2 linked regions of the Coturnix japonica genome follow. The protein of the gene in region 1 purifies or fractionates together with the protein of each later gene. This does not show direct contact. Links are inferred from orthologs where the notes say so. Each region holds a gene or a part of one and is shown in the gene's direction. Other genes may lie near its edges. The genes, in order: STK38 and MOB2.

Region 1 (4,511 bases):
ATAGAGAATTATAAGCACCCCATAAAGACCCACAGAGACCTCATAAAGACCCCATAGAGCCCCATAGACACCCCATAGAGCCCCATAGAGCCCCATAGAGACCCCATAGAGCCCCATAGAGCCCCATAGACACCCCATAGAGCCCCATAGACACCCCATAGCACCCCATAGAGACCCCATAGTGCCCCATAGAGACCCCATAGAGCCCCATAGAGCCCCATAGACACCCCATAGAGCCCCATAGAGCCCCATAGACACCCCATAGAGCCCCATAGACACCCCATAGAGCCCCATAGAGCCCCATAGACACCCCATAGAGTCATGGGGCTCAGGCATGGCTCAGACCCTGAGTGTGGCATCAGGGTTGTCCTCCATATCCTATATAGACTTAACCTCCTTCCTCAGCACAGAGAACCTCAGATTGATGGATGCAAATGAGTGATTTTGAAACAGGGCCATAGAACCAGCCGTGCTTGTTTGCTAACTGAACCCTTTTTGCTGTTGCAGTCGAAGAGCAGTGACTGAGCACCAGCTCATGCATGATAAGGGGAGGGCATTTCAAGGGCTGAAGCGCCTCATGTGGCTCCACAACGCCCTGGGTAGCGTGCACACAGCCAGCAGCAGGGATATTTCCCTTCCAAATGCCATTTGGGATCCACAAAAGACCAGAGATCCCTCAGATCCCTACAACAGCATCAGCAGAGATGAGACTTCAAAGCAGCTGCTGGAAGTGATGGAAGACGAGCAAGGCTTCCCCCCTATGAAGAAGTATTTGCTGCAGAGTCTGAAGACCCCAGAGGTTGATTGGAACCCACGAGACGTTTTTGATCTCCTTCAAATCAAAGAGTTTGGTAGGAAGAGGAATCCAAGCACCCAGCACTTTTCCCCTTAGCCTCCATCCAGCTCAGCTTTAGATACGTGATGCTGTAAGGAAAAGCACTCATCCAAAGGTGAACTGCAAGAGAAAAGCAGCGTCTATTTGTTCCATTATTATTTATCAGTGTCCAGCATCCATTCCCTATTTATCAGCGTCCAACAGGGAGTCATTTAAGGACCAGGTTCCCTCCTTAACAGGTAGAAAACCACCATCCAGAGCCCGGCTGTGTTTCCTCCTATAGGTACAGATGGCTCACGGCTCAGTTGTGTTATACACCTTAACTCTGGGTTGGATTTAACCTCAAATCCAGCCTTTTAGAGACACAATTGCCATTTCCATCACACAGGCATGGCGTTTATCCACCCCCCAGCCACAAGGTGTTATAATAAAGACACCCCCACACCCTAAACCGCTCCGTGTTCCTTTATAAAACCCAAACGAACCAAATAACACAATACAACCCCAAAACCACCCCACCTTCGGGTGGCAGCGCGCATGCGCCGCCCCATTAGGGTGGGCTCAGTGCTCACCCCGCCCCTCGAGTCAAGGGGGGAGGTGGGGAGGATGGTGGCGCATGCGCGGTGCGGCGGCGGCTCTTAGGGCTCATAGGGGTGGTCGCGGTGGGGGGGGGGGTCTCCTTTGGTTCTTAACGGGGTGTGCTCTATTGGCCTGGATCACATCCCTGCCCCCCCGGGTTCCTCCGCTGTGATCACAGAGGTCTGCTCCTCATCGCCCCCTTCCCAAGGGGGGGCTCCGGTAAGCGCTACCATCACCGTTCAGTGCCCCTTTAATGGGGGTGGGGGCTGCAGGGGGGGCTGCTCGTATTGCCGGGTGGGGCCCTTTGTCCGCAGTCTTGATGTTTATCCTTCCCCCCCCCCCCAACCTGGGATCGCTCCCACTTTGCTCAGTGGGAAGCAAAACCAAACAGCGCTCTGCTAGTGGTTGGTTGGGGGGGTGTCAATGGGAGTGCTGTCTCGCTTTGTTTTGGGCTCAAATCATCGCGTTTTGGTGCATTTCGGTGAGCAAAGTGCCCGCAATGGTCCCATATAAAGTCCCGGCTGCTGTTGTTGGGTGTGAAGCGAAGCTCAGTGCTCCGGATCTGGGGGGGATTCAGTGTAAATGGGGGGAGTCCTTCAAAGCAGCAGCATCTCAATCGTTCCTTGGTTGCTCTGCTGGGTATTAGGAGCTGGGTGAGGTCGTTGTGTTTGGGATGGGAGCTCATGGGTTGGTGTTATTAGCAGGGAAACACTAAGAAACTCATTGGGAACAATGACTGCTTTCAGCGCTGCCTGAAATTGTGGGTTTTGAGGCACCGTGTTTCTTAAGTTTCCTTCCCTCTTATTCTCAGGTCAAAAATGTGCAAAACAGGAAGCTTGACTTCACCTTTATTTTGTAAGACTTTTCCCTGCTCAATCTGAGCTCTGGTTGTTCGAGTCTCATTAACATCCTATTAACATCCCCTCCGGTCCTTGCAATCCAGCATCTCCCTCCTGAACATCCCTTTGGTTTGAAGGTTGTTTGCTCTCATATCACCTGTTCCCTCCTTTCCTTACAGCCATGGCCATGACGGGCCCGACACCGTGTTCCTCTATGAGCAACCACACCAAGGAGAGGGTGACCATGACCAAGGTGACGTTGGAGAACTTCTACAGCAACCTCATAGCGCAGCACGAGGAGCGGGAGATGAGGTAACAGCACACGGGGTGTGTTAAGCACATTTAAAGCCTGTTATCATAGAGTTGGAAGGGATCTCCAGCAGTCATTGGGTCCTGCTGCAATGGACAGGGATCCATCAGATCAGGTTATGGACTGAGTAGAAGACCTGCTTGGGTTGGTCCCAGTGTATTTGCAATTAGAAATCCCCCCATCTTTCTGCTGTTTCTTTGCTGTGAGGCTGCACCACCATCACCTGGCACTGCCTTTATGCGTGGGTTAACTGAACCTATCGCACCCCCTTAAGCTGCTTGGTCATAATATACCAAGTCATTGCACTGACAGGTGTTATCTTTGTTTTCCTTTGTCCAGAAGCTTCTAATTTGCTGCGTACCCTGGAGTCGTAGCACAGGGATGTCTCTGCAGTGCTCCCAGCTTGCTGTGCAGTCTATAATCAAGAGTTTTCTAAGAGGTATCAGTGTTTATTTGCCTGCAGACTCACAGCCAAAAACAGAGCTCGACCCAAAGGGATTGCTTGGTAACGACAGTAACTGCAGGAACCTGGATGTAATTCAAACATCAGGATTGTCTTGTGGACTCATGGTCTTCCAGGCTTCACATAGAAGAGAGATTGAGGTCTAATCCAAACAATATCACTGATTGAACTCCTGGCTTTGCTTTCCACGTGTGGCTGTGCAGGTTGGAGCTGAAGTGTTGAGGTGCTTAGGGGGGATTTCAGCATCGCTCTGTTGTGCTGAGCTGCCTTGTATTGAATATGAGAGGAGATGTCTGGGCACTGCAGTGAGGGTGAAGCAGCAGAGATGTGCCTGATGGTGGAAGTGATAGCCCAGAATATTATCACACAGCAGCAGCTGTGCAGTGGCACAGGGGCCGGAAGGGGATCTCGCTGAGGGTGACTTGCATGTAGGCAGGGAATTTAGCAGACTTGTTGTGTTCCTTTGGTGCAACATGGACAGGGCAGGAGAAAACAACCCAAAGAAAACCCCAAAACTCACAACCCCAGTTCAGCCTGAATGCACTCAGTATTGGGAAGGAGTTCCCATAGATAATCATGCCCTGAATCCCTTTTCCACCCCGAACTCTTGTTTCCTTCTCTGCTCCCAGATACAGATGTGTCCATGGAAGAAGTGAGACTTTGATGCTGGAGTGTTTATGTGGGTTTAGCCTCACATCCAGCTGCTGAAGTTAGGGGTGGGAACTGACCTCACATCTCCTCGGCCTGTGTTCCATACAGTGACAGTGCACACCTCAATCAGACACATGAAACTCCAGCAGGTTTGGATTAGCAGCAGCAGAGATGGAAACTGCTGGAGCGTGGTTAAAGCAGCAGCAGGAGGTTCCTCAGGATTAACTTTGTCTGATTCTCTCTTATCTATCACATGCATTTATTACTCCCTTCACAGCAGGCAGAGACGGGATCTGTGCTGGGTTTGTGATGGGATTGAGAGAAAATGTTCAAGAATTCAACTTTCTTCTGCTGTTTATCTTTCCTTAAGGCAAAAGAAGCTCGAACAAATGATGGAGGAAGAAGGCTTGAAAGATGAGGAGGTAATTAATGAGGGGAAATTCCTTTTAAGGGTTAAGTGAATTTGGTAGCATCTACCATCTGTATTTGGAGTGACTGCAGAGCTGTGTTTTCCTCTCCTTGGACTATAGAAAAGGATCAGGAGATCAGCACATGCACAGAAAGAAACAGAGTTCCTTCGCTTGAAGAGGACAAGGCTCGGCCTGGAGGACTTTGAGTCTTTGAAAGTAATAGGCAGAGGAGCGTTTGGAGAGGTGGGTGCAGGAAAGATACCTACAAGTATCTTCACTGCTGTTTGCTGGAGGGCTCTTTCCATTGCCGTGCACTGTATAATGACTTGGGTTTGTGTAGTTCTGGCTGTGCTGTGTATGACTTGAGTTCTGTGCACTTTCCAGGTGCGGCTTGTCCAGAAGAAAGACACGGGGCACGTTTATG
Region 2 (4,375 bases), on another chromosome or scaffold:
TTAATAAAATAGATGTCGGCTTTCTGAATTACTACTGCAGCATCAATTCCCCCTGTGCCAGTTGCTGTGTATTTTCCTTGATACAATCAGGAGGAAAACATCTAATCTGACATGACAAACTCATTGTATTGGGAGTCATCTCTGCTTTAAAACATGCGTCATATGACTCAACGCCCCGCTCAGGGTACAATGCACCCCTCAGTAAAACCGGGCAGAGCTCATCCTTAAATACCCTGCCAAAAATATTCCCAACAAAGGCCGACAAGAAAACATAATTCAAATGAGGGACATCTGCTCCCTAATGTTTGCAGAAAATGACTGGATCAAGTGTCTGCAGAAAGGAGAATTATTTTCTGCAGATGGTTTGATCTGATATTTTCTGTGTTGTGCGAGACCTTTGTCCCGGCCGCTCTGCAAAGTGTGCGGTGCTTTGCTGCCATCGGGCTTCTGTCCCATCCTCTGGTGTTATAAATACAAAGGCAACTCAAACTATGGAAGTTTACAAAGGCAAAATAAAGCACGTGTGCGTTGTGCAGATGTCAGAGCAGAGCCCACAAAGTAGTGGTGGATCCTCACAGCCTCCAGGAGCCAGTGCTGCCCTCGGGAAGCTGCTGGTCCCGAGCAACAACGATTTAGAAGCATCAAGGCATCATAGAATTACTCAGGTTGGAAAAGACCTCAAAGATCATCAAGTCCAGCCTCAGCCTATTCATAGTACCCTAACTCTAAGATATGGAGATTAAGATTTTCTCAAATTCAAGATGCTAACAATCATGCAATGAACCCAAGGATGCAGCTGTCAGCACCCGGACCAGCAGCCTTTAATTAACCTGTGTCCTACGTGTGTGATCACACACAGATCTGCAAATAGCTTTGTCTTAGAATGGAGCAATGAAGGAGGTGGCTGTACTTCTGCTTTAGAACACACCAATAAACACAGAGTCACAGAATTGTAGGGGAACCTCTAGAGATTTGAAGAATTGAGGGGACCTCTAGAGATCATCGAGTCCAACCCCCAAGCTCATCGAGCCCAACCCCCGCCTATGGCTCCGAAATAACCCACAGAGACATTTGGAACGGAATGGATTGTCCCTCTCCATCACTGACATCCCCAAGCAAAGCACCGCACTACACTTCCCAGCGTGCCCCAGGATGCGGCAGGAAAGGGACCGGGGTGCGGAGGGTGCCACTACCGGGTTGTCCGGCTGCGGGGCGGGGCGAGCTCCGTGTGTTTACTTCCGTCCGCCCGAGTGCGCGAGTGTCAGAGCCGAGGAGCGCGGCCGCTTGGTTAGCGGAGCCGCAGCCGGGCAGCACCCGCCGGGCCGGCCGCTGGGGCGGGGCGAGTCGGGACCTCATGAGCGGCCGGTGAGAAGGACGCGGCTGCCGCGGGAGCCACCCGGGGCGGCGGGACCCAGCCATGGACTGGCTTATGGGGTGAGTAGGGCCCCCCTTGCGCGTCCCCTTCCCCTCGGGGAGCGGCCGCGAGATACAGGGGCGCGAGGGCGAGTCGTTGTGCGAGCTCCGATGGAGGCACCTGGCGGGGGGTGAATGACGGAGCGGTGTGTGCCGTCGGGCTGTGTCGCATCCCGCCGTGGCCCCGGAGGAAGAGCTCGGTGCAGCCGGGTGTATCCCGCCGGGCCGGAGGGAAGGAAGAGGTGCGGAGGATTCAGCCTCGGCCGGGAGAAGTAACTTTACTTTCCTTTTTTGGCCGTGGGAACGGAGGGTGTCGGCGGGGCGCCGGGCTTCCTGCAGGCTGAGCAAGGAGCTGGGACCGCTTTAGGCAACCCTACGGGCCGAAATGCAGGCGGCTTCCTATGAGGAGGAATAGGAGAGCTCGGAGGGGATTAAGCCAAATGAGAGCCGCGCCGGGGGGCTTCCATAGCCTGGGATTAATAGTGTTAATTGCGCTGCCGGTTTTAGGTTTGAGCGGCTCGGTGAAGGCGCCCCGATGCGCCAACGAGAGCTGGAGCAGCGCGTTTGGTTACAGCTGGCATGAGCTGTGCTCGTGACCTGTGCTTAGGTGAACTGTGAATAATTCTGCTTCCAAATCACATGAGCTGTAGGTTTATGCTTTAGCTAAACTAGACTGCCGGGGATTTCTGCTGCTTGTAGGTCCTTTATTATTATTATTGTTATTTTGCGTTGATTTAATCCTGTGCCTGAACAACGTCTTTGTCACTTTGGTTATGTGATGTGCTCTTGTGTCACAGCTGCTAGATTTGAGCTGTAAGGAAGGCTGCACGTGCCCGTGTCGCCTCTGATCTGCAGCAGAAATCATTGGAAGAACTCTTGAAAGTATGGCACTTGTTAATTAGCTTCAAAGCAGCTGTGAGAGCTCCCGAAGCAGCTGTCAGTACCTGCTCTGCTTGACTGCAAGCTTGGCCCCCGATCTGATGGAGGTGAATGCTCAGTGTGTGTGCAGCAGGGTTGTCCTCCAGCAGGCTGAGCAGCAGAAGTGCACTACTTCTAGTAGGAGATATGGGAAAGGAGATGTCTGTATGCCATGTACCACTATGCTCATGTTGCACCCCTCTGACCTATACTGTGTTGGTACACTCAGTGAAAATATTAGTGTAAATGGCAGGTTGGTTTTGCTATTATTTCTGTACCAACCACCCAGTGCAGGTGGCCTGTTTTCATTTTCTTAGTAGAAGCTGGAGTGTCAGAGCTGTGCTACGATCAGAAAGAAGTCAAATCCAATACTTGGCAGGATGTTTGGCTGTCTCAAAATGGCTTGGTTATGCTCTGGGACTAATTTTGAGCAAATTACATTGTAAAGCAGAATGGAATCAAAACAGAGTTTAACCAAGGTGTCAAAATATTAAAATATTGGTTTCCTCTTGGAAAAGTATTTTAGGCTTTTCGAAGCTGCTATGAAAATATTGATATTCCTGCTATATTTTCTTTCTTTTCCAAGTTTGTGGATCCGTCATGTTGGAAAAAGGCTTCCCTGTTTTCCCATTGCAGTGAGAGTGGATCCTGAGTCATTTGTACATTGTGTACTCATTCTCAGCTATTTCCTGATATGTTTCTTGCCTGACCAAACCCACTTTGTCCCACTGGTGCTCTTCTTAAATCTCTGTGAGTTCAGTTTGTGGATTTCTTTAAGGGATGGGAGTTGTGGTGCTGGAGGAAAGGAGAGAATTGATATTTTGAAAGGAGAAAGAGAGAGAGGCCTGATGGACTTATTAAGCTGCCTACGTTATTCTTGCTGTTAGCAACAAAGTATGTATGAAAACATCCTTCTTGCTGTTTATTGAGAAAGAAAGAGGATGTTTTTCTGTCTCAACAGAAGCCTGGGTAATGTTATTCACTCAGCCTTTCTCCAGTGAAAACTTCAGCAATTCTGATTATATGCAAAGGGAAAGGCTGTAGAAATAGTAGGAAAACATACTGTTCCCATTCACCACTCAGTTGTTGTGTCCACTGCTTGTTGTGCCTCAGGAGAGCAGGTTGTATTGGTCTGTGTCTTGGTGTTGTCCCCCTTGTGATGATTGCTCTTTGCTAAATGAGTTGTCACTAATAAAAGTACCTTGATCTTTCTTATTCTGTGCTGTTGGGGTAATGTGCAGGCTTACACTTGCAGTTCTACATGTGTGTGTTCACATAAACTTATTGTGTTATTAGTCGTGCTTTCTTATTGTTCAGTGTAAGAAACACTGTCTGTATTTTAACTTCATGATGCCAAGTTATCAGTCTTCAAGTGCAAGGGTGTTATATTAGGCAGCAATAACAAGTTGCTTCTGTTCTAGATCTCTACCCTTCAAGCTTGTGTCATGTTTATCCTATAGAAGATTTAGAATGAGATCTGCTTTATTCCTTACTGGTCCTCTCTGTGCTTGTGTTCTGGAGTGTGGGGGAAGGGTAAGTTCTAATCATACCACAAAGGGCAGCAGCCCAAGTGTCTCTGATCGCCTCAGAGTGCTTAATATACAAAAACGGAAGCTGAAGCTTATAAACAATAGTGAATTTATTAGGGATTAACGAGCAGTTACAGGATTACGTGGTCACACAGCAAAACTTCTCAGGGTGCTGTTTTCTATTTGATGAGGTGCTTAAAAACCCAGGTCAGTCGTAGGGAAGAAAGCTGAACAAAATGGGCTATTTGCACATTACAGTAAGATCTCAATTTAGCATCGGAATAAACCTGAAGTCTTTTCTCTAGTTGGTTGGTATCTTCTATCTTTCTACTGAGCGAGGCCTTAATAACAATACTGGTGAAAGGCTCTGGTCTTTACAGTGCACAAAATACACTTTTTGTTGCATACAGAAAAGATTTTCAATCCAATTACACTGGGAATCAGTATTGCGTAAATGTTTTGCTCACTTATGTCTGACAGCTCTACAATGCATTTTTGAAAGATATCACAAACTT

The links.
Region 2: the proteins of STK38 (region 1) and MOB2 purify together in Homo sapiens (affinity purification with mass spectrometry; 7 studies listed by BioGRID and IntAct, with this or other methods). This does not show direct contact. The link is inferred for Coturnix japonica from reciprocal best matches to the Homo sapiens genes STK38 and MOB2.

Annotation. Positions count from the first base shown.
Region 1 is NC_029541.1:1,927,051-1,931,561, reverse strand, and holds the start of STK38 (serine/threonine-protein kinase 38), read left to right. Parts: upstream 1-1,448; 5' UTR 1,449-1,633; intron 1,634-2,432; 5' UTR 2,433-2,434; coding exon 2,435-2,565; intron 2,566-4,047; coding exon 4,048-4,099; intron 4,100-4,207; coding exon 4,208-4,330; intron 4,331-4,471; coding exon 4,472-4,511. UniProt on the Homo sapiens protein: Serine/threonine-protein kinase that acts as a negative regulator of MAP3K1/2 signaling. Converts MAP3K2 from its phosphorylated form to its non-phosphorylated form and inhibits autophosphorylation of MAP3K2.
Region 2 is NC_029520.1:10,355,120-10,359,494, reverse strand, and holds the start of MOB2 (MOB kinase activator 2), read left to right. Parts: upstream 1-1,530; 5' UTR 1,531-1,548; coding exon 1,549-1,685; intron 1,686-4,375. UniProt on the Homo sapiens protein: Stimulates the autophosphorylation and kinase activity of STK38 and STK38L.